2 linked regions of the Notamacropus eugenii genome follow. The protein of the gene in region 2 binds, or shares a complex with, the protein of the main gene of each other region. Links are inferred from orthologs where the notes say so. Each region holds a gene or a part of one and is shown on either strand. Other genes may lie near its edges. The genes, in order: CXADR and JAML.

Evidence for each region.
Region 1: the proteins of JAML (region 2) and CXADR are in contact, whole or in part, in a crystal structure (PDB 3MJ7), measured with the Mus musculus proteins. The link is inferred for Notamacropus eugenii from reciprocal best matches to the Homo sapiens genes JAML and CXADR. Residues at the interface, in NP_001005421.3 of Mus musculus: Arg57, Asp59, Ala69, Tyr72, Phe75, Tyr77, Leu80, Val82, Glu120, Arg122, Ser127, Met128, Val129, Met130, Lys131; in NP_001020363.1 of Mus musculus: Thr23, Gly51, Pro52, Asp54, Glu56, Leu58, Ser60, Gln65, Ile66, Val67, Asp68, Gln69, Val70, Leu73, Tyr83, Lys121, Lys123, Lys124, Ala125, Pro126, Gly127, Val128, Asn130.

The regions. Positions count from the first base shown.
Region 1 is NC_092876.1:411,764,779-411,779,650, reverse strand, and holds the start of CXADR (coxsackievirus and adenovirus receptor), read right to left. Parts: upstream 6,563-14,872; 5' UTR 6,468-6,562; coding exon 6,425-6,467; intron 1-6,424. UniProt on the Homo sapiens protein: Component of the epithelial apical junction complex that may function as a homophilic cell adhesion molecule and is essential for tight junction integrity.
Region 2 is NC_092876.1:280,577,963-280,593,155, forward strand, and holds the start of JAML (junctional adhesion molecule-like), read left to right. Parts: upstream 1-8,538; 5' UTR 8,539-8,570; intron 8,571-15,193. Other genes in the region: MPZL3 (myelin protein zero-like protein 3), read left to right, coding at 2,334-2,397, 5,539-5,682. UniProt on the Homo sapiens protein: Transmembrane protein of the plasma membrane of leukocytes that control their migration and activation through interaction with CXADR, a plasma membrane receptor found on adjacent epithelial and endothelial cells.

The sequences.
Region 1 (14,872 bases), about 130 Mb from region 2:
TGGAATGCCTTGAGACTACTCTCTGCTAGACTAGGACTGGGTTGGGACTGGGGTGATCTCAGGCCTTGTTTTCCAGGGCTAGACCATCTGGGAAAGTTCTTAAGCAGTCAGCTGTGAGGTTGGGAAAGGCTCAGGTTGGACAGGGAGTGTCATGAAAGACAGTAGTGAAAACCTCAAAAGTCCAAGCAGCATTCCCTGAGGGCTGGGCTTGCCTGGTCTTGGGCACTGCTGAGCTGAGGTCAGAAATGCTGCAACAGTAGCAAGCTCTCTAGGCAGTGCTGACTGAACTCTAACCCACTGCACTTTGTCCAAAACCTTCTCTGTCCCAGGACAGAGATGATTCTCAAATCTCCCTTCAGGACTTTAGGGGTTCTTCTACGGATTTTCTTGGATTGGATGCTCTGACTACAGGTGATTCTTTCTATCAGTTAATAGAGTGGTACATTACTAAGAGGATGTGGGATCTTAACAAGCTAACATCTTCCCACAACCCCCTGGCCTACCTTTATCCATGACTTTAGTGACCTACTCACCAGCATTAACCTTCCTGGGCTTGTTGAATCTTGTCATTTCTATGTCCTTTCTACCTTATCACTTCTACTAAATTAATAAACACATCTAGTCTTGTACTGATTGAAGCTTTCCAAGGCGTGTAATCTTTCAACACTAAGTCTCGGAATCCTTATCTTATGACTTCAAGGCTGGGATAAGAAGCTCCATTTCCATTAATTCCTTCCTTATTAGTGTTCTCTGTCTCTCCCCACTACCACCACCTATCCCTGCACAAATGATCTATTCTCTTCTATTTACTTATTTGTGTACATGCTATATTCCCTAACAGAATGCAAACTACTAGGGGAAATAGGCTATGCCACCTTTATATATCCAGCACTTAGCACAGTGCCTTAAACATAGCAGGTTCTGAATATTGGCTGAATTAAACTAAACCCTACTGAATTATAATTCAAACTTCTTATCCTAGCATTTAAAGTCCTAGACCAGTAAACAGAAATTGGAGGCCATTAAATTTTACAAAGGATTCCTACAAGCTGTATATTGACTTAGAAAACCAGATATTCGCATAATCTATGTTCTATTTTATTTTTACTTATTGTTAAATATTTCCCACTTAAATTTTAACTTGTTAGTTTGAAGTAGGGAGATGTCTCTGCCCTAGCTGATTTACTATCACTCTACAATTAATGCTACCTTATCACTGCTTTTAGTCTAAAGCTCCAAGCAAACGTACTTTTAATATGCCATTTCCTATACCTGGAATGTCCCTGATTTTAAAGTACTATTCAAATATTATTCTATGAAAATTTCCTGTGATCCTCCATAATTCAATATAATAACTACAACTCCTCACATTTCTACAGTACTTTGAAGGGTTTCCGTTACAGTTACAATCATTGTAAAGGTTGTACATGGACCCTCCTCTGTTCTCCCTCTATACCAATTCACTTGATCTCATCAGCTCCCACTGATCTGTACATTCTCAAGTCTACCTATCTGCTGGCCTTCAACCTCTAATTTCCAACAGCCTTTCAGGCATTTAGAATCAAATGGCCAGTAGAAATCTTTAACTCGGTATACCCCAAAACAAATTCATCATCTTTTCCCCTGCTCCTACCCACTTTCTTAGGACTGTAGAGGGTAATACCATCCTCCCAGGCCCTCAGTGTGTCATCTCACTGCCACGTTCAATGTTGTCAAGATCTCTTCAATATGCCCCCTTCTCTCCTGACACCACCACATCTCTAGGTGAAGGCCTCATCACCTGGAGCTTGCAATTGGATCTGCTTAAGTCTTTCCCCACCCCAATCCATCCTCCAATCAGACTTCAAAGTGATTTTCCTAAAATACAGCCACCTTCCTCCTACTCAAACTTCAGTGTCTCCCTATTGCCTCCAGAATCAAATACAAAATGCTATTGGGCATTGAAAGTCTTTATAACCTAGCCTCCTCCTACCTTTCCAGTCTTCTTACATCATTCTCCCACACCACATCCTCTTCACCCCAATGACACTGGCATCCTTGCTGGTCCATGAACAAGACACTCTAACTCTTGGCTCCTGGCATTTTCTCTGGCTGTCCCCCCAACCCTGGAATCCTTTATTTCATCTCCACCTTCTACTGGCTTTTCTGACTTCCTTTAAGTCTCAACTAAAATCCCATTTTTTACAGAAAGCCTTTTCCAACCCCTCTTAATTCCTTGCTTACATATAAAACTGTTACTATTTATCCTGAATACAGCTTGCTTTATATAGGTGTTTGCATGTTGTCTGCCCCATTAAATTATAAACTCTCTGAGGCCAGGGGCTCTTTTGCCCCTTTTGTACTTGCAGCATTTAGCACAGAGTCTTACTCAGTAAGTGCTTAACAAATGTTTGATTATTTTTAATTGATGCTGATGACAGGTAACAGAAACTCTGAACTCCAATTAAGTTTTATCCTTCCCAAAAGAATTCCATTCTTCTCATTAGACCCATATTATTAAAAAATTGTACTCAATTATTATTATATTTTTAATTTCATCAATAAAAATTTTGTGGAAATCTGTTTTCTTTTGTTATATAAGTACTTACAAAATATCCTTGAGTTTGTCTTTTGGCCCACAAAGCCTAAAATATTTATTATCTAGTCTTTTACAGAAAAACTTAGCTGATGCTGATCTAGGTAACTTCTAACCTTTCCCTGGTCATCACTTCTCCAAAGTGAGTTATCTCCTCCATTAAAATGTAAGCTCCTCGTGTATAAAAATGGCCATTGCTTTTTTATTTGCATCCCCAGTACTTAGCACTGTGCTTGGCAAAAGCATTCATCCATTCCTTCTAACTACTATCTTGTATTAATTATTTGTGTTTATGTCAGATCCTATCAACAGACACTGAAATTCATGAAGGAGAGACTTATGTAATCTTTTCCTCTCTCCCAGAGACTAAGTATAAACACATCAGATCTTTAATAAATGTTTGTGCAGTTTAGTTGAGATATCCAGCAGGCACGGAGAAATGTAGGACTAAATCTCAGGGAGAGATAACAGTTGAATATAGATAAGGGAATCATCCAGAGAGGATCATTAAAGGTGGATTCAAAAAGAAGGGAATATGTGTAATTAAGATGATCTCAGTACACCTACAAAGAAAGAACTTAGAAATAAAATTTAGAGCAGGAAAAGACCTCAGTCAGAGAAATTTAATCGAGTCCAACTCCAAGGTTTTTTTCATGAGAAAATTGGAAATCGCAGAGATAAGTGACAGGCAGGATATGAATCCAGGTCTTCAGAAAGTGGTGGTGAAGGGAATAAGCATTTATAGCGCACCTACTATGTGCCGGGCTCTCATTTTATCCTCATTACTACAACATAGGTGCTATTATTATCCTCCTACTTTACTGTGGAAGAAAATGAGGCAAACAGAGGCTAAGTGACTTCTGCAGGGTCATATGGGTCAACTAGCTATAAGAGTCTAATGTTAAATTTGAACGTCTTTCTGACTTCAGGTTCAGTATCGTATCCACTGTGGCACCTAGTAGCCAACAAAGCCAGTTCTCTTTCCACTCCACCAAGAAGCCTTTTCTATGCTTAGAAAGGTAGAAGAGAGAACAAAGACATAGTGTCACAGAATCCAAGGGAAGAAAAAAAGTGCTTAGAAATGCTGCACAAAGGAGATGTGGCAACAAGCCCTCTGATTCACAGTTTAATCCATCAACTACTTTCTAGTGGTTAAAGTTCTACCTAGGCAAACAAATAGTATGTATACTGAATATGGATCATCTTGATGGGGTGCTCAGACCCTGACCCTAAGATCACGTCTCTGAAAGTCTCCCAATTTCTCTGTAGGGCCTTGTCCTCTGAGAAAATTTTCTCTTGTTGCAGAACACATTCCCTTATCAGAACAGAGGCGTGCCTCGCCCAAGGACTCTTCTTCCTGCCAGATCCCCAAGTTCCATACCTCTGACATCTCCCTCAATGTCTGGTATGCTCCCTACACTTTCCCCTCCATAGCTCCCAAAGACACATGGACCCTTACATGACCTAATTAGTATCCCTGGACTTCCTTTCTCATGTTCCTTTTTCATATAAACCCCAGCACAATCCTCAGTCTCTTCAAAGTTCCATAAGGATTCTTTCCCACTTTTGCTAAAGTGTTACAATAAATTTTTTGCCACTTGACTAAGAGAAGGCTTGAGTATGTGAATTCATTCCAGGCAAATTTGCCTTGGCATTCTTGGGGTCCCAGCACCCTCAAAGCTCTCCAATCTTACCAGAAGATTTCTAAAATTGGCACTAGGAAATCTGAAAAAAGGGCAGGGTTGGTACAATGAAAAGGACTTCAGATTTTAAAGTTAGAACTCCTGGGTTTGAATTACTCCTCTTCCACTTACTGCCTTTGTAACCTTGGATAAATTACAACAGGTTTTCTCATCTATAAAAGGGGTTAGGTGAAGTGATCTCTTAAGATCCCTTCCTTAAAGCAATCATACTACTGTATGAGAGAGCTCAAATTCCAGGGAAGAGAATGTGAATTTGAATGTATAACCCAAAATAGGACTAGCAAAATGCTGAATTCTAGAAAAAATTTATCTACAATAAAACACCTGGCTAAATCCAATTAAAACATTTCATTGGACTGATCATCTAGCTGACTTGTTCATTTCTCCATTTCAATACTTCAAAATGTGATTGCTTTCAGCTAAAGAAAGGCTCTCCCAAGAGATACTGAAAAAAGAATATAGGTAAGACCTAGTTTTACCAAGCAATTTAAGTCAGCTTTAGGTAATAAAAAACAGATAGTGCTAAAGTTTCCAGTCAGTGATTGCTTTCCAAATAGAATTTTCATGTCATGAGTAATAAGTCATGACAGCAACAATGAATTTTACATTTCAACAGGAAACGGAAAATGCCATCCCAATTCTGTAGCAAAATCCACTTAACATTTAACCTTCCAGGTGCTGTGCAAAACACAAATCATAAAGTTCTGAAATAGGAAAGTCTGACAAAATAAACGGAACCATTTTACTTTCAAAAGAGTTGGCACCAAAAAACACTGCTTCCACAGGAAAAAAAACAAAAGCTAGGTCTACTTCTACTCCAAAAACACACACACACACGTGTGTCTATATATATGTGTGTATGTATATAACATGTAGATATTATACTTCCCTCCACAGAGAAAATCCTGCATAAAGTTCTTTAAGAATTCTAAAACCCCACATGTCATTTTATCCAAAAGAACTCAGAAATTAAGAAATAGAACAACTCAATCCTCTCTAATGCATGGATACCTTTTTTTTTCCTCTACAGAAACCAATCCTTTTGCAGGAATCTCCATAGGAGTTCTTCAAAACTGTCCCATTACTCAAGACATCTCTATTTTTTTAATAAGAAATGGTTCCTGCTTAGACATTCATAATCTATATTAACTCCTGCTAATCTTTACTCAGCACCTTTCTCCAACAGAACTGGTGAATCACAGGTGCCACCAGGGCACGGAGACCTTTTAAAAATGGCAGACTGTTCATGATCTGCAATTTTACCTTCTGAAGACTTCAAATACAGGTGACCCAGGCCGGAAACGATAAAATGACAAACAAAAGTGGGCCAGAGAAACCGAAAACCAGTGGGAAACGCATCGATACCATAGAAAAAAGACAGGAGCCCATGAGGAAGGGCAAGCGGAGCTGGCCGGGCTGCAAGGTCCCCAGGCTAGGACGTTCTCCGCTCCCCTCCCCTCAGTCTCCCCAGTCCAGACAAACACACCAGTGACCCCCATTTGGGGGCCAGCCCTGGAAGGGCGGCTGATCCCTGCCAACAACACGGCTTCAGCTCCAGGGCAGGAGTGCCAAGAGGATTTCGCAAACGTCTTTGTTTCACCGCTCCCTCGGGGGCTCGTCTCTCCCACAGGGTTGGATTCCCGCAGACCATCAAACGAGCCTCGAGGTCCTGCAGGATCCCGACATCTCCCCAGTCACCCCTCGAGGTCCAGCAGGGAGATCCCGAGGATCCCCACAATCACCCCTCGAGGGCCAGCAGGGAGATCCCGAGGATCCCCACAATCATCCCTCGAGGTCCAGCCAGGAGATCCCGAGGATCCCCACAATCACCCCTCGAGGGCCAGCAGGGAGATCCCGAGGATCCCCACAATCACCCCTCGAGGTCCAGCAGGGAGATTCCCGAGGATCCCCACAATCACCCCTCGAGGTCCAGCAGGGAGATCCCGAGGATCTGTCCGACCAGGAGATCCCAAGGTCACCCCTCGAGGTCCAGCAGGCTCTCCCCGACCTCCAGGCTAAGCCCCTGCCCCCCCTCCCCCCCCCCCCAGAGCCCTTTCCAGCCGCTGCCCCGCACGGTTCTTTGTCTCTCCGCCCAGGGTACCCGGGGCCAGTCCAGGCGGACCCGCGGGCATTCCTCGTCACTCACCCGCGGTCCAGCACAGGAGCGCAGCGCACAAGAGGAGCTTCATGGCGAGCGGACGCCCGGCTCCGCGCTCACAGCCTGCCTGCCCTCACTCCGGTCCGCGCGCTCCCAGCCCGGCTCGGCACACCTCGGAGCCCCGTCCTCTCCCTCTCCCAGCCCGCACCAGGGCGAGCAGGTGAAGCTGGCGTCACTTCCGCTCCGGCGGCCGAGCCTGGGCTTCCACCCCGCGCCTATGCCCGAGGGGTCAAGGTCCGACCTGGGCCCGCTAAGCTTCCGCCGCCGGCCCCACGCCGACGCCCCGAAACCAGCCTCTGGGGCAGGGTGACCCCGGGAGGCTACGCGTGCCCGCTGGGAGCCAGGGAGCCCAGGCACCCGTAGCCCGGCTCTCCTCCGCGCTGGCCACCGCCCACACTCCCTAGCCTTGTCTTTGAAGTAGGCCGGCCCGCGATCACATTAAAAGAAGAAGGTGTAGCAGCCCCAGACCCCCGCCTCTGGGTGAGAGAGCTGCGTCCCGCGGGCAGAGTCTGGGAGCTCTCCCTGGGGACGGGACACACTTTTCTGCCCGCGGTTGGGCGCAGGTTTACGCTTCATTTTACCTGACCCCTGGCCTGGAAGAAAGAATGGGCAAGTGTCTGGAAGGAAAGCCAGGCTCTCCTTGTATCCCCTGGGGAAAAGAAAGAGACAGCCTTAAATTTCAGCCAAAGGAGGGAATGGGAAGAGAAAGAGTTGTCTTAACTCTAAACGCAGTTGACAACTACGCATATTAAACAAAACGAGTTGTATACATTATTTGTCTGTGTATGTTAAAAGGACGCAGTTGGAGGGGAGGGTGGGCAGGTTCCTCTTAACAAAATAAAGGCAAAATTCTATATATATAGTGAATATACTGTATATGTAGTAAGTACCACATTTAACCAGCAATGTCATTTTTAGGGCTGTATCCCAAAGAGATCATAGACATGGGAAATATTAATAGCAGCTCTCTTTGTGGTGGCCAAGAACTGGAAATTGAAGGGATGCCCATCCATTGGCGAATGACTGAACAAGTTGTGGTGTATGAATGTAATGGAATGCTACTGTGCTAGAGAAATGATGGACAGGAAGACTTCGGAGAGCCTGGAAAGACTGAAGTGATGCTGAGTGGAAGGAGCAGAACCAGGAAAACTCTGTACACAGTAAGAACCACAGTGTGCCAGGAATTTTCCTGGTAGACTTAGCCCTTCACAGTAATGCAAGGACCTAAAACATTCCCAAAGGACTCGAGGCAAAATGCCTTCCACATCCAGAGAAAGAAGTATGGAATTGGATTGCAGAATGAAGCAGAGTATTTTCTCTAGTGTTATGGTTTGTTTTATGGTTTCTCCCATTTGTTTTAATTCTTCTATGCAATATGACTAATGTGAAAAATGTGGTTAATAAGAATGTATGTGTAGAACCCATATATAAGACTGTATGCTGTCTCGGAGAGAGGGGGAAGAAATCTAAGACTTATAGAAGTGATTGAAGAAAACTGAAAATATATTAATTTTAAAAAGAGTGGTTTAAAAAGAGTGCTCATATTTAATTTCCCAAACTGCTGACTCTGCCCCTAGTTAATCTACCTCACCAGAAAGTACCTGTTTTTAATTATAATGAAGCTAAAATAGTGTGCAGTAAAATTCTTCATGGCAGGGACCATAGGTGCAGTGGAAAGGATGCTGGATTTGGAGTCCAGAAGACCTGGGTTCAAAAGTTGGCTCAGCAATTCATTTGCCTCCGTAACCTAACCAAGTCCCAATTTCTCTGAGATTATTTCCTCCTCTGTAGAATGTTGAGATTATATATATATATATATTAAGGTCCCTTCCAGCTCTAAATTTATGATCCTTATGCAGACCAGAGCATCTTTCTCACTCTAAGCCTCCAATTAGTTATTCCAAGTTATAAATATTTGGGGTTGGGGAAATTTTACAAACTGTTATTGCCCCCCAACAACATTTTACTTTGTCCAGTCAGCCATAACAATACACAGTTTGTAAGAGGCATTTTAGTTAAACTAGTCATATGACATTCCTCCCATAAAAGTTGAGCTTCCATACACACTCAGTAAGAAGAGTGGACATCCATAGGAATTAGATCCACACTTGCAAAAATGTATCCAAGGCATCTCTTTTTACCAGATGTGTACAGAGAGAACACATTTTTCCCCTTCCCTTCCTTCCCCCATAGCTACCATTAGACACAAATAGGTGTGTGTGTGTGTGTATCAAGTTAAGTAAATTTCATTTTTTCCTTCTCTCTTTTTTTCTTCTCTTCTCCCTCCCCTCCCCCCAGGATGTAGACATAGAGATGGGATGATAATGTATTGGAGGGGCAACTCACACCCCTTGACCCTGCAAAGCTGCCAAGGTCTTCTACAAAAGACATCACCCCGCCATTGTCCAGACCAGCTCCCCAGAAGGCTTTGTTCTCTGAAAAACATTTTTTTTTTACATGCCAGCTGGTCATCAGCTCTGTTTTCAGGGTCATTTGAAGCAAGTTCCACTGTGGAAACTGGTTACAGCTTTCTCACCATCTAAAAAGCCAGCTGCTCCATTCACTGAGAGAGAGTGCTGTGCTTGATTAATGAGCATCTCTTCAACAGCTTCCTCTACAACCTACTTTTTCTGTTTCCTTCTGCTTCCACTGTAGTTCTGAGATAAAAACTTCAGACCACCTGAAACTCTGTACTACATCAGGTAGAAGTGCTGTGGTATCCTTTCCTATGAGAAAACTCAGCTAGTCAGTGACACAATAAGTATTTATTAACTTTTATTAAGCAAGGCACTTGGCTAAGTACCGTGTATACAAAGAAAAACAAAAACACCTTTCCTGTCCTCAAGGAGCACACATTCTAATGCGGATGAGAACATATAAGGAAGTATATGTAAATATAAATATATATGGAAAATAATCTCAGAAGGAAGTAATTTGGAATTGGGAGGGGAAGGGTGAGTGGGTAAGGAAGAGACCAAGAAAGACACACTATAGAAAATGGTATTTTTTAAAATTATTTTATTTTTAATTTATGGAATAAAACAAGGATTTTCCTAACATGGTATAATAAAAAAGCTGATTGCACATAAAACTATAAATCTATTATGTACAACTTGTTATTCATTTTAAATATATAATAATCATGCTAATTTCTTATTTTCTTTTTTTCTCCTCCCCAGATGGCTACTTTTAGACAGAAATAGGGTGTCTGTGTGTGTGTGTGTGTCGTTGTTATGTAAATTTTTTTCTTTTTTCCTTTTTTTCTTCCCTAGAGATGGCTGCCATTAGGCACAAATAGGTATATGTGTGTGTATATATATAGATACATAATATATATATGCATATATATACATATATACTATATATATGCAATTATTTATACATCTGTTTATCAGTTCTTGAAGATGAGATGGAAGTTGAGTTGTGAAGGAAGCCAAGTAGTTGTGAGGATGGCGAACCTTCCAAGGAAAGAGAGGCAGCCAGTGAAAAGGCACAGAAAGGAAATGGGGGGTATGTGTGAGAAACAGCAAGTAGGCCAGCATACCAGGTTTATCAAGTACATAGAGGGGAGAAAAGGTATAATGAGACTGGAAAGGTAGGAACACACTAGTTTATGAAAGGGTTTCAAAGTCCTATAGAGGATTTAATATTTGATCCTGGAGGTAATAGGGAGGCATTGTAGTTTACTGAATAGAGGTGATGCAGTTTGGGGTGCTGGCTGTAAGAATACAGGGTGAGTCTGCCTGGAAAGAATTCAAGCACTCAAGCCTTCTTTCAGTCAAAGTAGGAGGTTTATTTTAACCCCAGTAGAGCGGGCTAGATTCCTAATGAATCTGTGCTTTGATGGAGATGAGAGTGATACTTATAATACAAAAAAAGACAGTGAGAAGATCTAGATGGGATTAAGGAGTGATAAATAGCCTAGGGTGGCCCAGGTGCAACAGTGAAAGGAGTAAAGTGGTCTGGGGTGGGTCAAGGGAACTGTGAAAGGAGTATTAAATGGTCTAGTGTGAGCCTAGAGCCACCATGAAAGAACTGTTAAGTATCTAGGTGGTCTGGGATGGACCAGATGCCTCAGGCAAGTTGTCTATGTTGTGAAATGAAGGGGGAAATTAAGGAACTGGGCTGCTTTCAAAGATATAGTATTTTCCTTTTTGTGAGTTCAAGTCCCATCACCCCATCATTGGGAGTAAGAAAGAGGGACATGATGTGGTCAGACCTGTGCTTTAGGAAAATAACTTTAGCAAATGAGTGGAGGATAGACCCTAGTGGTGATAGATTTGAGACAGGGAGACAAACCAGGAGGCTATTGCAATAGTCTAGGCATGATGAGATTAGGGTCTGTAGCACATGTGTAAATAAAAAGAAGTGGATATATAGAAGAAATGCATTTTTTCCTTTGTTTCTTCTCCCTGGTCCCCCCATTAGACACAAATATGTGTGTATGTATATGTGTACACACACACACACACACACACACACACACACACACACACACACACACACACACACACAAAGTCAATTGACTAAGAACTGCCTGAAGCTGGCCTGGTCTCCATTCCCAGGCCAATGAATTGCCTGAAGTTGACTAGACTTTGTCAATTCCAGTCTCTGATTATTTTGTAGACCTCCCAAACTCTCCCTTCCAGAGACTCCCAAGCTTTCTTTATGGATTTTTGCTTGTTATGTAAAAACAACTTACCTTAAGAAACTGTGAGATGCTCAACCCCTCCCATCTGCAGCCTCCTCATTCTATCAGACTTAGTACCCTATAAACCCTGTTCCCAGTCTTCTCCTTGGATACCTCAGCAATTGCTATGTGGCCTCTAAAGCTATACTCACTCTTCCCAGAAATCTCAATTTTGTTGTATTGATTGCTTTCATTAAAATTTAGGTTAAATGAATATATTTGTATATATATATATATGTATATACATATATATGTATATATACATATATATATGTATGTATGTATATATATGTATATATACACATATATGTATGTATGTATATATACACATACACACACATATATGTACACATTCATGCATATATATATGTATAATCATTTTATACATGCTTTGATATAGATAGCATCTTTCTTCATAAGTTCCTTGTATTTAATTTCAGTATTTATAATAGTCAAAATGACTTGGTTGCTCAAAGTTGTCTTTAAAATAATATTGCTGTTGCTGTATACGATATTCTTATTCTCTTGGATCTCTTTGTTATTTCGTGCAAGTCATTGCATGTTTTTCTAAAATCACTGAGCTCATCATTTCTAGCACAGTACATCAAAATCATATACCACAACTTGTTCAGCCATTCTACAACTGAAGGGCATGCCCATAATTTATAGTTCTTTGCCACCACACACACACACAAATGCTACACGTTATTTTAGAACATATAGGTTCTTTTCCTTTAGAATATATATGTTCTTTTCCTTTTTCCCTGATCCTCTTTGGAAACAGACTTAGTAGTGGTACTTGCTGGATCAAATGGTATATACAGTTGAATAATTCTTTGGGCATAATTCCAGATTATTCTACAAAATGGTTTGATCAGTTCACAATTCCACCAGCAGTGAATTACTGTCCCAATTTTTCCACATCCCCTCCAACATTTGTCACTTTACCCCTTCTATCATTTTAGCCAATCTGAGAGAGATGAAATGATATCTCAAGGTTTTAATTTGCATTTCTCTTATCAACAATGATCTAGAGTATTTTTTTATATGACTTTCAATTGTTTCAGTTTCTTCATTGGAAAAGTGCTTGTTCATATCCTTTGGCCATTTATCAATTGGGGATGACTCATATTCTTATAGATTTAATAAAGTTCTTTACATATTTGAGACATGAGATATCTGAGAAACTGTCTATAAAAATTCTCCCCCAATTTTCTGCTTCTGATCTTGACTACATTGGTTTTATTTGTACAATCCCTTTTAATTTAATGTAATTGAAATCATCCATTTTACATCTTACTCTGCTCTCTAGCTCGTTTATTCATAAATTATTCTCCTTTTCATAAGTCTGCTAAGTAACATATTCCATGTTTTTCAAAATTTCTTGTAATTTCTCTCCTTATTTCTAGGTCATGTATCCATTTTGACCTTATCTTGGTAAATGGTGTAAGATATTGGTCTCTGCCCAATTTCTGCCATACTGCTTTCTAATTTTCCCAACAATTTTTACCAAAAAATGAATTCTTATCTTAAAACTTAAGTATTTACTCTTGTCAAATACAAGGTTACCATGTTCATTTGTTGCTGTAAATTGTATATCTACTCTGTTCCACTGATCAACCTTTCTATTTCTTAGCTAGTACCAGATAATTTTGATAATTACTGCCTTAGAGTTTAACATCTGGTACTGCTAAATCTCCTTCCTTTACATTTTTTTCATTAGTTCCTTTGATAGTCTTGACTTTTTATTCTTCCAGATGAATTTTGTTATTATTTTTTCTAATTTAGTAAAATAATTTTTTTTTTTTGTAATTTAATTAGGATGTTATTGGATATATGAATTAGTTTAGGTAGAATTGTCAGCTTTCTCCCCTCCCCCAGTAGCTTCCACACATACTCTGATTAGGTCACACTGGATTCTTTGCTGTTCCTCATATAATCCAAACTCCAAGCATTTTTGTTGGATATGCCCTATGCTTGTGGAATGCTCTCCCTCCTCCTCTCTGCCTCCTGGCTTTCCTGTCTTCCTTCTTCAAGTCCCAGTTTAAATCTCACCTTCTCTAGGAAGCCTTTCCCAATCTCTTAATTTTAGCACATTCCCTAGGTTCGTTATTTCCTATACAATCCTGTGTATAGCTTCTCTGTATACAGCTGCTTTCAAATTGTCTACACCATCAGACTAGTCCTCGAGGCCACCGGTTCCTCACCCCTGAGCTAGCTGCTCTAGAGCATAACCAACAACGAGTGACTGAAGCCGACCTAGTCCGCATTCCCAGACCCAAGAAATGCCCCCACCCCTTCCTCCCCAACCTCTATTTTATAAATACTCAACTCTTCCCTCCGCGAAGGAAGATTAGCCGGCTTTCTCTAAGGACTTTTGGTCGTTATGTAAAAACAATTTCCCTTGTAAGACCTAGGAATGCCCCAACCTTCACGAACCCCTCTCGCTCTGCCTTGGTACTGTAAGAACCCCCATGTCCAACCCTCTCCTCACATACCCCAACGCTTGCTGCTGCCTGGCATCCGGAGCTACAATTTCCTTGCCTTGACTAAAGATCATAATTTTTGCTATGTTGGAGATGTTCTCTTTAATTCAGATCTACAGTGTATATATAATTTGTATACAATTTATAGGCACATGCTATTTCTCCCCAGTAGAAGGGAAGCTCCCTGAGATCAGGGACTCATTGGGTGGGGACGTCTGTGTCTACAGCAACAGTATAGATCAATACTCAATTTATAGATTGAATTTTCCCCACCTCTCACAGCAATACCTCACAGTCCTGGGGAATCTCTCTACACATATACTTTGTAGCAATACACTTTGTAGCACTAAGGCTGTGGTGGAGTAGGGGAAGAACATTGAATTTAGAGCTAGCAGACTTGGATTACAGTCATTGTGTCATTTACCACGTGACCTTCTGCCAAGTGACTTTCCTCTCTCTTTGCCTGTTTCCTTAGTTGTAAAATAAAAAATTTGGACTAGTTTAACTGATCATTCCATCTTATAAATTTAAAAAGGCAACTTAAAATGATTTGGGTCAGTTTCAAATGTTAGAATTTTCTCATTAACATATTTCCTCAAAGCTTCAATGAATTTGGGGTGAAAAAAGAACCTTAGACATTGTCTAATCCAGCTCCTTTATTTTATAGATAAGGAAACTAAGACCCAGAGAAATTGTGACTTTTCCTTTTTATAAAAGTTTCATTGATGCTTACTTTTTTACACTAGATATATTTACAGATTACTCCCAGTTTCTGAGAGGTCTCATTACAAAGTAAAGCAATTAAGAAAACTAATAATACAGTTACTGAAAGTTATGTTGACTCAGTGACCCACTTTCGCCAGCCCTGCTTGTCCGTGGAGTATTGAAGAAGGCCTCACCCTGATATTTGTAATGTAGCCAAGTCACCCCCAACTTGGAAAATGTCATGTTCTAGCTATCTTGGGAAGGAACTGAGATAAAGGGCTCAACCTCTTGGCCTACTGAATTGTTTTAAAATTACCTGTAAAAGCTGGCCCTACCTTAAAGTTATTGCTGATCTCTAGTGATTGGCTTGGTCTACACATTGCTATCCTGAGGTACTTGTAATAAACTCCCTTTACTTCTTTTTGCTCTGAGTTTTGCCTCACTAATCAGGGTGAAGAATTTTCCTTTTAACACAGTGATCTCATCTTACATGTAGCATTTCATGTATGTAGCACTCTCTCATGTAAAAGAAAATGAACAGAAATCTGTTTTCTT
Region 2 (15,193 bases):
TTCCTGACTCCAGGCATAGCACTTTATCCACTCTACCACCTAGTTGCCGTAAAAATGTTTTAATAAGAGTTTGTTAACAAATTAACTCATTTGACCTTCATAACAACTCTTGTGATATAGGTGCTATTATTATCCTTATTTTTCAGTTGAGGAAACTGAGGCAAACAGAGGTTAAATGACTTACCCAAGGGCACACAGGCTCAATTTGAACTCAGGTTTTCCTCACTCCAGGCCTAGTGCTCTATCCATTGTGTCACCTAGCTGCCCCAGAAGAGCTGATTTAGATGTCACTCAGATCAGTGGACAAGCATTTATTATGTATCTACTAGATGCCAGCCATTGTGCTAAACACTGAGGGTACAAAGACAGCACAGTAGACTCTGCTTTCAAGGAGTTCCCAGTCTAACAGGGGAGACAACATGCAAGTGACTGTGCACAAACAAGATAAATGCAGGTTAAACTGGAGTTAATCAATAGTGTCAAGGCACTAGTATTAAGGGAGATCAGGAAAAGTTTCCTGTCAAAGATGAGATTTTAGCTGAGACCTGAAGGAATCTGGGGAGTCCAGGAGACAGAGATGAGAAAGGAGTGAATTATAGACATGGGAAATAGCCAGTGACAGTGAGCAGAGTGTAGAGATGGAGTGTCATGTGTGAGGAATAGCCAGGAGGCCTGTATTAGTGGATCCAGGGTTATGTGGGGGTGGGGTAGGTTGGGGGCTGGGGCAGAGTAAGGTGTAAGAAGACTATAACATAAGATGAAATCAGGTTATAAAGCACTTTGAACACCAGAGGATTTTTTTATTTGATCCTGGAGGTGATGGGACATCACTGAAATTGATTGACTAGGGAGAGGTGACATGGTCAGGCCATCACTTTAGGCAGGTCACTTTAACAGTTAAATGGAGAATGGCCTGAGATGCGGAGGGACTTGAGGCACAAAACTAAGCAAAAGGGTATTGCAGTAGTCTAGGCTTGAGGTGTTGAGGGGCCTGCACCAGAGTGGTAGCAGTGTCAGGCTGATTGGTGATGAGAGATGCCTCAAAGGTAAAATCAACCAGACTTGTTAACAGATTGGATTTTTGGGGGTAGGAGAGAGTGAAAATTGAGGCTGACAGCTCAGGTGAGTGGGAGTAGTCTTCTCAGTGATAGGAAAGTTTGGAAAAGGGGAGAGCAAGAAGTCAAAGATAATGAGTACAGTGTCTGACATGTTGAGTTTAAGATGTCTAAGACATCTACTTAGAGATGTCCACCAGGCAGTTGGAAATTCTAGCCTAGAGGTTAGGAGAAAGTTTTGGGTTGGATAAGGAGATCATCAGCATAGAGATGATAACTGAATTCATGGGAACTGATGAGATCATCAGCATATAGCATATAAAGAGAAGAAAAGAAGGCCTGGGCCAGAACCTTGGAGGACACTTATGGTTGTGGGTGTGATATGGATGGGGATTTAGCAGAGCACTCTCAGAAGGAGCAGTCACATAGGGAGAGGACCAGGAGAGAGCAGGGTTACCAAAGAGTGGAGAGAGCAGAGAGTATCACGGAGAAGGTGATTGACAGAGAGGTCAAGAAAGGTGAAGGCTGAGAGAAGACCTCAGCTCTGGTGAGGAAGCAAGTGTTTTGGTCAGGAAGTGCTCTGTTAGAGTGTAATTAGGATGCAGCTATATCATCAGCACAATCAGATAACATTTAATATACTCTTACACAAGCGTTGTGCTTTACTGAACAGTGTAGAAGACCCAGGTAAACAGATATGACCCTTTACTTGAGGCATGGCACAGTGGAAAGAGTCCTGGACACAAGAGTCAGGAAGGCCTGAGTTCAGATTTGATTTTGGGAATCTACTAACCATGAGATCCTGGGCAGGTTACTTTCCTCTTACTGCCTCAGTTTCCTCATCTTTAAAATGGGGATAATAGCACCTACCTCCCAGGGTTGTTGCAAAGATGAAATGAAGTAATATTTTCAAAACACTTTGCGAAGCTGGAAGTGCTATATAAATGGGAGCTATTATTGTTGTTCAGGGCAACTAGATGGTACAGTGGATAGAGTGCCAGGCCTGAAGTAAGAAAGACCTAAGTTCAAATCTGGCCCTGATCCTTACTAACTGTGTGACCCTGGCAGGTAACTTAACCGTGTTTGCCTCAGTTTCCTCATCTGTAAAATGAGCTGGAGACGGAAGTGGCAAAACACTCCAGTATCTTTGCCAAGAAAATCCCAAATGGGGTCTTAGTCAGACACAGCTGAACAACACATCAGTTATTGTTGTTATTTTGGGGAGGTTGGTAATGGGCATTTTGACTAACTCTGCCCACTTTTTTTTTTTTTTAATAGCACTGACCAGGGAGAAGATGAAGGCTGCATGCGAAGACTTTGTACCCGTTGTGCTGAATGCCTGGTAAGCTGTTTCTTCCACTTAACTGTCTGTTTAACTTTTCTGCACGTTGAGGAAACACATTGTGCTGTGATATTAGCTGAGATAATGCAGGTGGGGCCAGAAGGAGGCATGAACCAAGGTCTTAGAAAGAATTGTGGCCACAGGAAGCCCTTACCATCCCTAACCACCTCAACTTCTACCCCTGATCTGTGGACATAAAATGGTGCTGGTAGCGCTTCTGTGGAGCATTCCCTGAGAATGCGTAGCTCACATTTCAATAGCTCTTTACTCTTACTATGACTTTACACCCACTATTTTATTTAATCCTCAACAGCCTGATAAAGTCCATACAGTATTGCTATTTCACAGCTGAGGGTACTTTCCTTCATTAGGGTTAAGTGATTTGTTCTAGATCAAAAGGCTAGTTACATAGATGATTTACCCCTGGGATTCAAGTAATCTGACTCCAAGTGCAATTTACTGTCTGCATTACCATGCTTTTTCTCTCTTCTGCCTTATTATCTAGAGGAAATGTGGAGAAGAGAGCATTTCTCCTTCCTGATGGCCAGTTTGTGTCATGCACAAAAACATGTCATGTTTAAACTTCACTCTCTGTAGCTGCTTGCTTCTTTAAATTTGTCATACTTAGGGTCTTGGATTTTAGGGGGGGGTATGTGGTCCTCTACTGACTTTGGTGCTGCATTTGGCTTCTCTTTTCCTCACACTTTGTTGATATTTTGTGATCATTTATGTGGCTTGGATAGAATTTTTAAAGTGTTTCAATGACCATTTATTTATTTGCAATGCTATTGCCACCCCAACTCCCAAATAACCAAGAGAGAAAATTTTTTTAAAAAGCACTGTCAGGCACAATGAACAAATCCATTGGGTCTTTGTGCAGAAAGATCTGTCTCTGCACCTTGTGTAGCATGGATAGACTTTCACCACGTAAGTTCCCTATCAGGGATTAGAAAACTGGTGCTTTGTCTTTTAACTCAAAAGGGAAAGGCTGCTGTTTCTATCATTGTAGCGCTTGTGACTCATGATAGCTTTGCTTGCTTCCAATATTTTTTGTACAGCAATAGTGGCTCTCTGATGTAGAGATGTTAGGAGACCAAATTTATGCTCTAAGTATGGCATACACTTCTTAGTGTAGGTTTTGAAATTTTTTCTTCTCAAATTTATGACCAGATTCAGCACTTAGCAGGATTTGGCTATATTGTTTCACCTCTATATCTGTTGTAGTGCTCTATGTTTAAAATTCTCAGTGGACTCTTCTTCCTTTTACCTGTTAAACTAAGCATAATATCTAAGATACTACATTTGAAGGGTTGTGTGGCAACACATTTGAATGAAAATATTTTGATAATATGAAATGAATACATGTTTACAATCTTGATTATGTGCAGTGTAAATTTGAGTTTGAATATACAGGATGTCCCAAAAGCCTTCCTGAAGTTTTAAACTCTTAAAGCTTAAAAATATGTTTTAGATCTGCTAGAAGACATTAAGAAATATGTGTACCATATGAAGAAAGGTTTTCAGTATATTTCAGTAGCTTTCTATAGCTCAGTTTTGTTATTCATAAAAAACCCTTTCCATTTTTTGCCCCTTCTGCTGTTACTGATTTGGTGCCTCTAGGGTTTTACAAGTTCTGGCATTCCCCAATATGTGTGACATTAAAGCCCACTGTTCTCCTCCTTTTGCCAGAATTTTTTATGCTATTAAAATGTAAAACTTCACTAAGACTTTTGGGACAACCTTTGTAAATATGAAGCATCATGCTAGACTGGAAAGCCTTTGAGGCAGAAATGGAGATGGCAGGTGTCTGTTGCTTAAAGATTTGGCTCTCATTTACCTAATGGTAATTTCCGTATGTGGAAGTTGGGCCAGGTAGTAACTAAGCCATATTCTGGGAAAAGCTTTGAGTCTTTGACTTAATTTGCTGAAGTGCTATCTCTGCATGGTTTTTCTCCATTTAGGATTCGGACTTTGAAGAAGCATATTGATGACAGTTTAAAGACTACCTGGCTTCAGAACTCGAGTCATGTGTTTGATCTGCACAAAAGTCCTGTTCCTTTATTTGTTGAAGTTTTGTGTGATTGCAGTTGACTTGGACTGCCATGATGGAAAGCCATGTTGGAGGAACCTGGAGTTCAGTAGTCAAGACTGTCCAGTAACTTTTAATTTATTGAAGAAATGGCCTTTTTATATTTATAAAACATTTTAAGATCTTAATAGAAGAGATGCATAAAAAGCAGAGCTCTGCTTATTCTAGTTTAGTAAGTTATATTCTGGTTGGACCGAGGAACTATTTTCCTGAGCAGGAAGATATAAATTGTCTATGTTGCACTCTATGCATTCTATGTTTTCTTCCAATTGTTTGAAGGAGAATCATAAATATTGTTATTACTGACTACAGAGGATCTTTTCTTTCAAAGGAATGTCATTGTAACATCCTTTTGTTCCTGTCAGATGAAAATATTTGTAATAGTGTTTTGCTTGGTCAGTTTTTAGCTTGGAGCTACTAATTGAATAGTAATCACTGCTTATTTCTCTCCTGTTACTGGAGCTGCAAAATTTCATTGTATATTATAATCTCAAGATCATTTGAATTGTGTAAACTGTAATCATGTAAGATTAGTCAGATTTTGCTTTGTTTCAGTACTGTATTTTTTTCATGTTAAATGTTATCAGTTTATATTCAAGGAAAAGAGTAGTGAGGCGATAGAATTGATTTCTCCTGGCTCGCCAGATCAGAATCGGGCTGGGGTTGCAGTGGGCAATATCTCATTGTCACATTTCCTTGCACACTCCGCTGCTGTCTGTTCGGCCCCTTCACTTTTAGGCCAGTCTTTGGGAGTTTTCCAGTCTGAAATTATAGGCTGCTGTAGCTTTTATCTTTAAATGGCGATGTCTTCTCACCTTTCAGAATCGCTGATCTTCAAAATGCGCAGAATATACACACTAGTGATTGTTTCAGATGTCGCTGCAGAAGGTCTTGTGGATCAGAAGTGAGCACAGGCCTCAGACTTTCTCACTGTTGTCTTCTTCCCTCCTTGTGCTCTGTGTGCTCTGGCTTAATTCTCTAGTGCATGACTAGCCAGATAAAGTGCACATATTTTATGTGCTGAGGTTTTACTTTTTGTTCCCCATGTATAGAAAAATACATCTTGGATCTGCCACAAGACTTTAAGAAATAGATGTGCCAAAGTTGATAGTATGTTTCAGCAATCCAGAGGTATGTTGTTTTCTCAGTTTTTGTATTCAGAAAAACTCTTTCCATTTTTGCCCTTTCTTCTATAACTAATTTGGTGCTTCTGGTGTTTTCCAAGTTCTGAAACTCCACAAAATATGTGACATTAAAACCCACTGTTCTCTTCCTCTCCTTAGATTTTTAGCCCACATTTTTTTGTTTTGTTTTGTTTTTGAATACAGAATGAGTTCAGAAGCTTTGTGGTCTGCCCCATTGGTTTATCCAACCCTCTTTGGTTAAATTGTTTTACCAATCAGAAATTTTTGTGACTTAACTGAGATTGTCACTTACCCAAGATCGCACAAACCTTCCAGCCAAATCTGGGACTAGCAGCTTGCTTTTTTCCTGTAACCGTGCCTGTCCCTGTAGCTTCACAGTTTCTTGGACCATGTGATAATTGATTTCAGGGGCCGATCCACTGAAACTCTTTCTAACTTTTAAATACAGAGAAAAAGAAAGAGAGTTAATTTAGGCATTAAGTCGAACCTTTAAGTGTTCCTAGCTGTAATGTAAGCATTTTGTGAGACCTCAGCTCCCTGAGAAGGGGGATAATACTTCAGGATGGCCTAGTTAAAGCTATGTCCTTTTAAATGAAAACCTGTTTTGACTGGGTCATCTTATACCTTTCTTGCAGGCTTGAGGATGAATTCAGTGAGGTACGTTTGTGATTCTTGCATGAACAGTCCTGTGTGAATGCTCAATAGTATTATTTTACAATCTTAATCACGATTTGGACCAAGGCCCCTCCTTTTAGAATGACTGAACAGTAGAGGCTTTTATGGTAAGGAGTAAGTTGATCATTGAGACTTTTCTGTCTGGTTGTGGTCACATCACAGGGTATAAAGCTGCTATCAATTTCTCCATTACTCCTGTGAGGTCTGTCCTCAGCCTCTCCTCAGAATTGTTGAGAAGTTATATACTTGCCTCCTTTAGGGATGAATAAAAGATACAGTATATCTTTTATGTAGAGATATCCTGTGCTGTTTTTATACCTCCTTAGGTTCTATTTTTAGTTTTCTTTCAGATTGGTGAGAGAAACTTTTCTAGAATGGGAATTTACCACTGGCAAGCTCTATGCAGGGGTTGTCTTTCTAAAATAGCTTCTGCTTCATGGTATATTATCATCTTTGTTTTCTGAGTTTCTGTTACCAAGAGTCATTGAGTTTGTGGCTAAATATGTGCTTTAGAGGAAAGGGCCTTAGGTTTACTGTCTATCTGATTGCATCAGGTAACTTGGGAAGCAGTTTTTTCTTTACCAGCACTGAGAATAGATAGGCACTGGTACTTCAAGAGAGTGAGTTACTTGTGTTTTGTTTTCTGTTTTTTTTTTAAAACAAGAAACCCAGAAGCTACCACCTGAATATTGGTGTATAACCTTTGTCCTGAATGTCCTCGTGTATGATCTAGTCAATTGCAAATGGTGAACTTCAAGAGGACCAGAGGGATGTTTATGAGGTAGATTCAGAACTGGAAGGGGCCTTGGAGGTTGTGGAGTCCAGCCCCCTTCTTTACAGATGCAAAAACTGAGAGGTTAAATGATTTACCCTGGATCACAGAGCTTAAGTGTCTGAGGTGAGATTTGAACCGGTCTTCCTGACTCCAAGTACAGCACTTGGTGGACTAACATTTTCCCTTCACATCGACATTAAAGAAGAGCCATTTCATTATTTGTCTTCCCCTTTGAAAGGGGAAGTTCCGTTCACAAAGCCCTTCCATTCTTGCTGAGTCTCCCTGTGGTTTTGCATGTGGAAATGGCACTTATGGCCCTCTGTCTGTAAACACTGTAGATGTTTGCAATGATGTGGACAATAAACTCCTTTTTACGTTTCCAGGCTGTACTTTGTTTGCTTTGCTTATTTAGTATCAGAATTATTCATGTAAGAGTTGAGGGCTAGTGGTTTTCAAAGTTAGGGTCGTCTCTTAATTATACCTGGGAAAGGACTTAATCCTAGATTTTGAGGAGGGTTTCATCTGCAGCATGCCTTACATCAAGAGAGTATGCAAAAAGGCCTGTCTAAACTTGCTGAAATAGATGAAGCAGACTATTTTGCTTTGAGTTGATGCCTCACTTTGAGGAAAAAAGGTTGGGCTCCAGACTTTTCCGCTAGCATTAATTTTTACTTACATAGGATGTTCATTCAAGGTATATAATGGTGGAGCTCTTGGGGTCTATATTCTGTAAAGGATAATCTTCTTTGCCTCAATTTCCTCACCTGTGAAATGAGCTGGAGAAGGACATGGCAAACAGCTGTAGTATCTTTGCCAAGAAAACCCCAGATGGGGTCGTGGAGAGTCAAAACGACTTAAAAATAACTGAACAACAATACATTGCCACAGAAACTTCATTGTGAAAGTCTGCAGGTCTGGGTAGTAAGGCAGAGGGCTTGGGAGGTGCCAGTTTTTTAATGGGATGTAGTACATGGGGAATGACTGCCCTGCAGATTTGTATAATATTGTAAAAAAGGAAATAATAGCAGACCGCTGTGACTCAAATCATAGAACAAATGATTTCTTCCCTCTCAAGTTGGAAGATTGTCATTCAATCATTCGACAAATATTTCCTGAGTGGTTACCATCCATAAGCTGCTATGGTAAGTGCTCTGAGATTAGATATTACCTACCCTCAAAGAACTCACAATCTAGTGTGGGAAATGACATACATAAACACAGGACAGATGTGATCACGGCTCCTTCAGTAAGTCAGCCCCTAAAGCTTTTTTTTTTTAAATAAAAGCATTGGGTTCATACTGTGGGCTGAAAGACTGAAACAAGAATTTCATGCTTGTAGTTCCTGTATTTCTCCTCAGCTGCCTCAAAATGCACATATCTGATTTGCTCTAATACCTCTAGGATCTACTTGAATCAGACTGTGGGGGAGTGCAATACCATCTGAGGAATTTATAATTGTAGTGTCTCTCCTGGCATGTCATCACCTTAGGTAAGCATTTTTCTTTAATTTTCCAAATAGTTATCTCATTTGAGCATTTTCTTGATCAGAAGAAGGATGTTGCTAAAGTGTTGTTTTTTTTTTTTTTTAACCCCACTGTTGAGTCATATAAGACTGTGTCTATGTGATGGTGTTAGCTTTAGCTGGGGAATTGGGAGTGAGGTGTCTTAGCTTGTTAGGACCTAACTGGACCAGTAAGTCATGACCAAGTTAGTTAGATTTTCTGTGTGTTTTGATAAGTTGCTTTGTGACAGAAGAAAAATAAGGAATATTTTTAATAAGAGGCCAAAAATGAATCAATGAAAACTGTCATCTTAGGCAGGGCTTTGCCTAGGTGTGCTTAAAACTGTGAGAAGACTGTATGACTCTATTCCTTCTACTCCCAACAACAGCCAGGATCTTATACCAAGAAGCCACTAAGACTTTGCTGGGTCTCTGGGGCTTGACAGAATCCGTACTTGTCACATCATTTGTCTGGCTGTGATCTTAGTGAGGAGTCATGACGTGACTGAGGAGGGAGAGATTAGGAAGGATGTGGATTCTGTTATCACTCATATTCCTTTCCAACTTGGGGGTAGGAGGAGAGTTATCTCTGATATAGATTGTTTTTGTTCAGCTTTGTCTGACTCTATGTGACCACATTTGGGGTTTTCTTGGAAGATACCGGAGTAGTTCGCCATTCAGCTCATTTTACAGGTGAGGAAACTGAGGCAAACAGGGTTAAGTGACTTGCCCAGAGTCACATAGCTAGTGAGTATCTGAGGCCAGATTTGAACTCAGGTCTTTCTGACTCCAGGTCCAGCACTTTATCAACTGAGTCATCTAGCTGCCTCTTGATATAGCTTAGGTTGTGCTAATAAGACACCCGTGTGTCTGAGGTCACATGAGCTGACACTTTTTTTATATAGTCATGGAATCATAGAACTGTAGAATCTTAAGGTTGGAAGGGATGTTATAAAGTACTTATTAAATGGTCTTGGGAGGAAAATTAATACTGAGAGGCTCAGATTTCATATCAATATAAGAGAAAGCAAAAACAGTTTAATTGGAATATAGAGCACCCAAGGAGTTATATGAAATAAGTTGAAGAAGATGAGTTAGGAACAGCTTTAAGTGCTAAACAAGAGGAATTTGTATTTTATCCTAGAAACAGTAAGGAACCCCTGAAACTTCAACTTGGGGAATGGTGATTTAGGGGAGTGGGGAAGTTGAGGATGGTGGTAACATGGTCAAATCTGTGCATTAGAAATACCAACTTGGCAGCTGTGTGGAGGTTAGACTGGAGAGGGGAGAGATTGCTCTCAAGGAAACCATTTTCAAGACTTTTAATCATCTAGCTGAGAGATGGTGAGGGCTTGAATTAGGGTGGTAATCTAGGGCTATGAGAGTGGTGGTAAGATTCTGTGGAGGCAGAAACTAGATTTGGAGACTGAGGAGATGTGGAGTGAGTGAGAGAAAAGAATTAAGGATGCCACTGACGCTGTGAACCAGAGAGACTAGAAGGGTAGGGATGAAGTTTAGTGGGAGCAAGGCATTTGTTGAACGTTTTGAGTTTGAGATGCTTATGGGATGGTATATGTGGAGATGTTCAATGGGTAGTTGGTGATATGGGCCTGGAGCTCACGACAGGTAAAGGCTAGATATAGAGCTGATAATTGAACCTTAGGAGGTGGTGAGATCACCAAGTGAGACTTCAGAGAAGAGGGCCTGTACAGAGTCCTGTAAACATATGCACATAGGAGGTCAAACGTAAATGCTGACAAGTAGAAGAGGGAACCAAGGTGGGCAGAGGAGAGCAATGTCCTGGAAGCCAAAGTGAGAGAGAGTGTCTGGAATGAGGAGCTAGTTGAAAGTGTTAGAAAAGTTTCAGCAGCTCCTTATTGATTCTAGGATAAAATACAAATTCCTCTTGTTGAGCCCTTAAAGCTATTCCTAACCCATCTTTCTCTGTTTATTTCACATGATTCCTCTGAGAAGTCAGACAGAAGACTGAGAAAAGGTTATGGGATTTAGCAGTTGAATTGTGTATAACCTTGGAGATGGCAGTTTGAGTTGAGAGATGGGGTCATAAGTCACGTCAACAAAAGTTGAAAGCTGAACAGGATAAAAGAAAGTGGACAATATTTATGTAAGATAACTTCTTTCTAGAAGTTTGGTTATGAAAATGAGGAGACAGACATAGATGATTGCTTGAAGGTTAGGTGAAAGGTTTTTGGATGGGAGGAGATCTGAGTATATTTGTAGATAGCAGAGAAAGAGCCAGTAGTGAAAAATGATCGATAGAATCACTATGATCAGAGGAATGCTATAGATAGAGTTTACCTAGATTCTTGCAAAGCAATTGAGAAAATCTCATATTATCCTTCTGGAAGGGATAGAGAGGTGTGGATCGGACAGTTCAGGTAATTGTATCTGTTCAAATGGCAAGACCTAAATAGTAGGCAGTAATGCCCTGACTGGGAGTTTTCATTAGCATGCCCCAACCAGAGACTTTGGCTATTTATAATATTTTTATCAAAGATCTGCATAAAGCACAGATCATATGCTTATCATATTTGTAAAATGACAGCTCTGGGAAGGATAGCTAAAGTTAGATAACAAAGTCAAGAATCCAAGAGACAAGATACAACATTGAGTCAAATACTAATGATGAAATTTAATGGTAAAATTTTAAACTTGGAGTTAAAAAAATCAGCTTCATAGGTTCATGATGGGGGAAACATGGATAGAGGACGTTCATCTGAAAAAATTGGGATTTTAGAGCCCTCCCATGCTCAATGAAAGCCAGCAGTTTAATCTAGTGGCCAAGAAGTCAATGTGTTCCTAGGCTCCATTAAGAGAAACAGAGAATGTCCTAGATGAGACGAATGACTGTTCTGTTTTCTCTTTCTGGCCAAGTCACATGTTGGATATTTTGTTCAGTTCTAAGCAACACATTTTAGGAAATCCATAAACAATCTTAAGAGTGTCAAGAAGGGAAGGGGGACATTAGAATAGTGAGGGCAGGCTGTGTGAGAATCAGTTGTAGGAACTGCAGATTTTAGCTCAGATAAAAAAGATGGCTTGTGGGGAGAAGAGGAGACTTGATTGGTATCTTCAAGGGCTGTTGAATGAAAGAGCAATGGATTGGAGTTGTTCTGTGTGGTCCCAGAGGGCAGCACTGAAACCAGTGTGTGGAAGTGAAGGACACAGATTTAGGGTCAATGTAAGGAGAAACTTCGTACTGGTGGGAGGTATCCTAAAGTAGAATGGGCCTTTTTGGCAAGTAGTAGATTCACATTTACTGGAGATCTTTAAGCAAAGATTGCCTAACCATTTGAGTGTATTGTAGGAGACCTCTTGTTCAGGTATGAGTTGGATGAGATGGCTTGTGAGGTTGTTTTCAACAATGTGATTCTGTGAATCTGTATTTTTGTCTTTTTAAGTAAATCTCTTAAAAGAAAATCAGATTTCATCTATATAGGGAACTCTGGGTGTAAAAACTTGCTCCACTGATGAAGATCAGCAGTACTATCTTATAGTCCTTAGAGAAAGTAGGACACGGTTTTCTGAAAATACTGTAGATGTATTAGATTCTGATAAAGGACTGCTTCCCCCTTTTGTTTTGGGTGTAACTAAGTAACACATAGGATTGGCTGCCAGATTCAGGGCCATCTCTCTGTCACTGGTTTCCTTTTTAAACAGTGCTAGAGTTCTAAGAAATGTCCACAATGATGGTTTCAGTTGAGGTCTAATATCTAGATGAGTCATCATTAGCTCAACTATTATAAAAATTATATTTAAGATTATTTCTGATGGATGGTACACGAGTTGACTACTGAACTGACATCCACCTTACTGACCAACCTTGTGTCAGGCTATTGCTATATGTATGTACAATTTTGGGGGAATTTAACATGACTCTTAGTGTATCTGAATCAGTGCAATCACTAGTCATGTCAAAAGATTTCTACTACTTTCACTTTTAAATTCTCGTGTTCACTGTAATTCATACTTCTCTGCTCTTGCCATCCCCTTCTAAAATTTACAAACCAGTTTGGTCACTTTGGGTTATGGTCCTTAGGACTTTTCTGTTTGTTCTTGATGATGATCCTTTGAATCCGATCTAAAGACATCCATGCAAATAAATTACTTTCCTCTTGTCTTATGTGCTTTTATCGTAATGAACTTCTGTTATTACAATTAAAAAAATATTTTGTAATTTGTTTTAGAAATATTTTTATTCATTAAGTTTTGTTTTAACTTTCCTTGTCCAGTATTGTTGAAATACAGAAACAATGACAAAAGAAGAAAAAAACAAACCAAATGAAAACACAGAAAACAGAAGACACAAATGATTGTGCATATATCTGTACACTTCTGTATTTACTGATTGATTATTAAGCAAAAGCTGTATGTTAACTTTAACAAGGTAGTGACAGAGTTGTCTGATGAATTTAAAATGTATTTTGTTGGTGTGCAATGTCTTTATTTCCACAGCTATAATCAGTTTGAGGCAGATTGGTTATAGTGGAGAGAAGGGATGGCCTTCAAGTCTTGCCTCTGATACATATTAACTCTATGACTGGTGGCAAGTCTCTTAACCTCTCAATGTTCCAAACAATTTTCTACTGCTGTAAAAAGTAGCAGACAAGTCGCTTTTCAGCATTATTAATGGGAATTTCTGAATAGAGAGTTAACTACCTGTTCAAATCAAAAGCAAAAGAAATTTTTGTATAAATTGTTCTTTTGGTTCTTTCTTCATTCTGTATTTCTTTTTATGACTTATTAGGTTTCTCTGAGTTCTTTATATTTATCATTTTTTAAAGTGCAAAACTATTTCTTTATATCTTTATGTTGTTGATGAGTTGTTTCAGTCATATCTGACTCTTTGTGACCTCATTTGGGATTTTCTTGGCAAAGATACTGGAATGGTTTGACATTTCCTTCTCCAGCTCCTTTTACGGATGAGGCAAACAGGGTTAAGTGACTTTTCCAGAGTCACACAACTAATAAGTGTCTGAGGCCAGATTTGAGCTCAGGTCTTCCTGACTCCAGGCTGCTGCTCTACCCACTGCACCACCTAGCTGCCTTGTATCCTTATACTACAATTTATTCAACCATTCCTCAACCTTTGGACACACTGCTTCTAATATTTTGCTATTCTAGTGTACTTGGTAGTAGTTTACAAAGTAGTAATAAATGACGCTGTCATATTTCTTGTTTGGTAGAATAGCTACAAGGAAGGCAGAACAGGTATTATTTTCCACTTACCTTCTCCCCACCACTCCCCTCCTTCCCCATTTTACACATCATGAAATAGAAGGTCAGAAAGGTGACTTGGACAGTGTCCCACAAGGAGTTAGTAGCAGAGCCAGTACCAGAACCTTTTGTCTTTTAATTATGAGACCAGGGTTCTTTTTGCTACTCCATGATGCCTCTTTTTTTGTATGACCTTCTGGTGTACTTTGCTGATTTTTTTCTAGTGACGATAGAGTTAAGAATTAGAAAATGAAATTGCAAACTTTCAGGTGATCCTTTCTTGCTCACATGTGTGTTATGAATAAAGTCAGACATGATATAAGAGATCTAGACTTATCAGAAGAAAGACAAGCACTGGTTCTTGTATCTTCATAAGTCCTTTCTTCTTACCTTATTTATGTGATGTGTTCTCCTTCTGCTGGAAGGGGATGAACTCCTCTTCCATTGTGAGAAATAGAAAATAGACCTGACTGAGAAGCTGAACGATTTAGAATAGAGGTAGGGATCCTGCAACCTCCAGGCCACATGTGGCCTTCTAGGTCCTCAGGTGTGGCCTTTTGACTGAGTCCAAGTTTTACAGAACAAATTCTTTTATTAAGTTGATTTGTTCTGTGAAGTTTGGATTCAGTCAAAGGGTCATACTTGAGGACCTGGAAGGCCACATGTGGCCTCAAGGCTGCAGGTTCCCCACCCCTGGTGCAGAGGAATCATCCTCCTAGGACCTGAGCCCCTCCAGAGGAGTTGGTAGGTAGGATGAAGTTTGGACTGCATTGCTGATTTGGATGTTGTAGAATTTCTCTGCCTTCTGACTAATTTCCTCTCTTCCATCATCAGTTCCTGGTAACAAATTGCCCCAGCCACCTCATGTGGCTGTTCTGTTACATGGATGGAATTCATTGAATTAGGACTTTTGTCCTTCTATGCCCATCTACTACTTTGTTCATGTGCCCTACCTATTCTTCTTTGGTTTTAGTAAGGGGGGGATGGGAGTATAGGAGGATCTAGACTTGTAATTTCATAAATGTAGGGAACTTCTAACATGGCAACTCTTTTGTCCCTGTAGATAGGCAACTCATTGAAGGGAAATTTGAACGCCAGTCTTCTTGACTCCAAAGTTGGCACTTTATTGCTCACCTTTTCACAATACTTAAATAAAGTTTATGCTTCATTTGAGAAGACAGATGAGAATTTCAAAGCTATGTAGTCAGTGCTTTCAAATGTGAAATTGTTAGACTGCTTTGTATTGCATTTTAGGGTTGTCACCCCAATGTCAATATACAATTGATTGCTGTGATGGCAATCAAAATGGGATCTTTTGCTGGTTTTTGTTTTAGTATAATAAAGTGCCTCTGATTGAGTCTTGCCTTTATCAA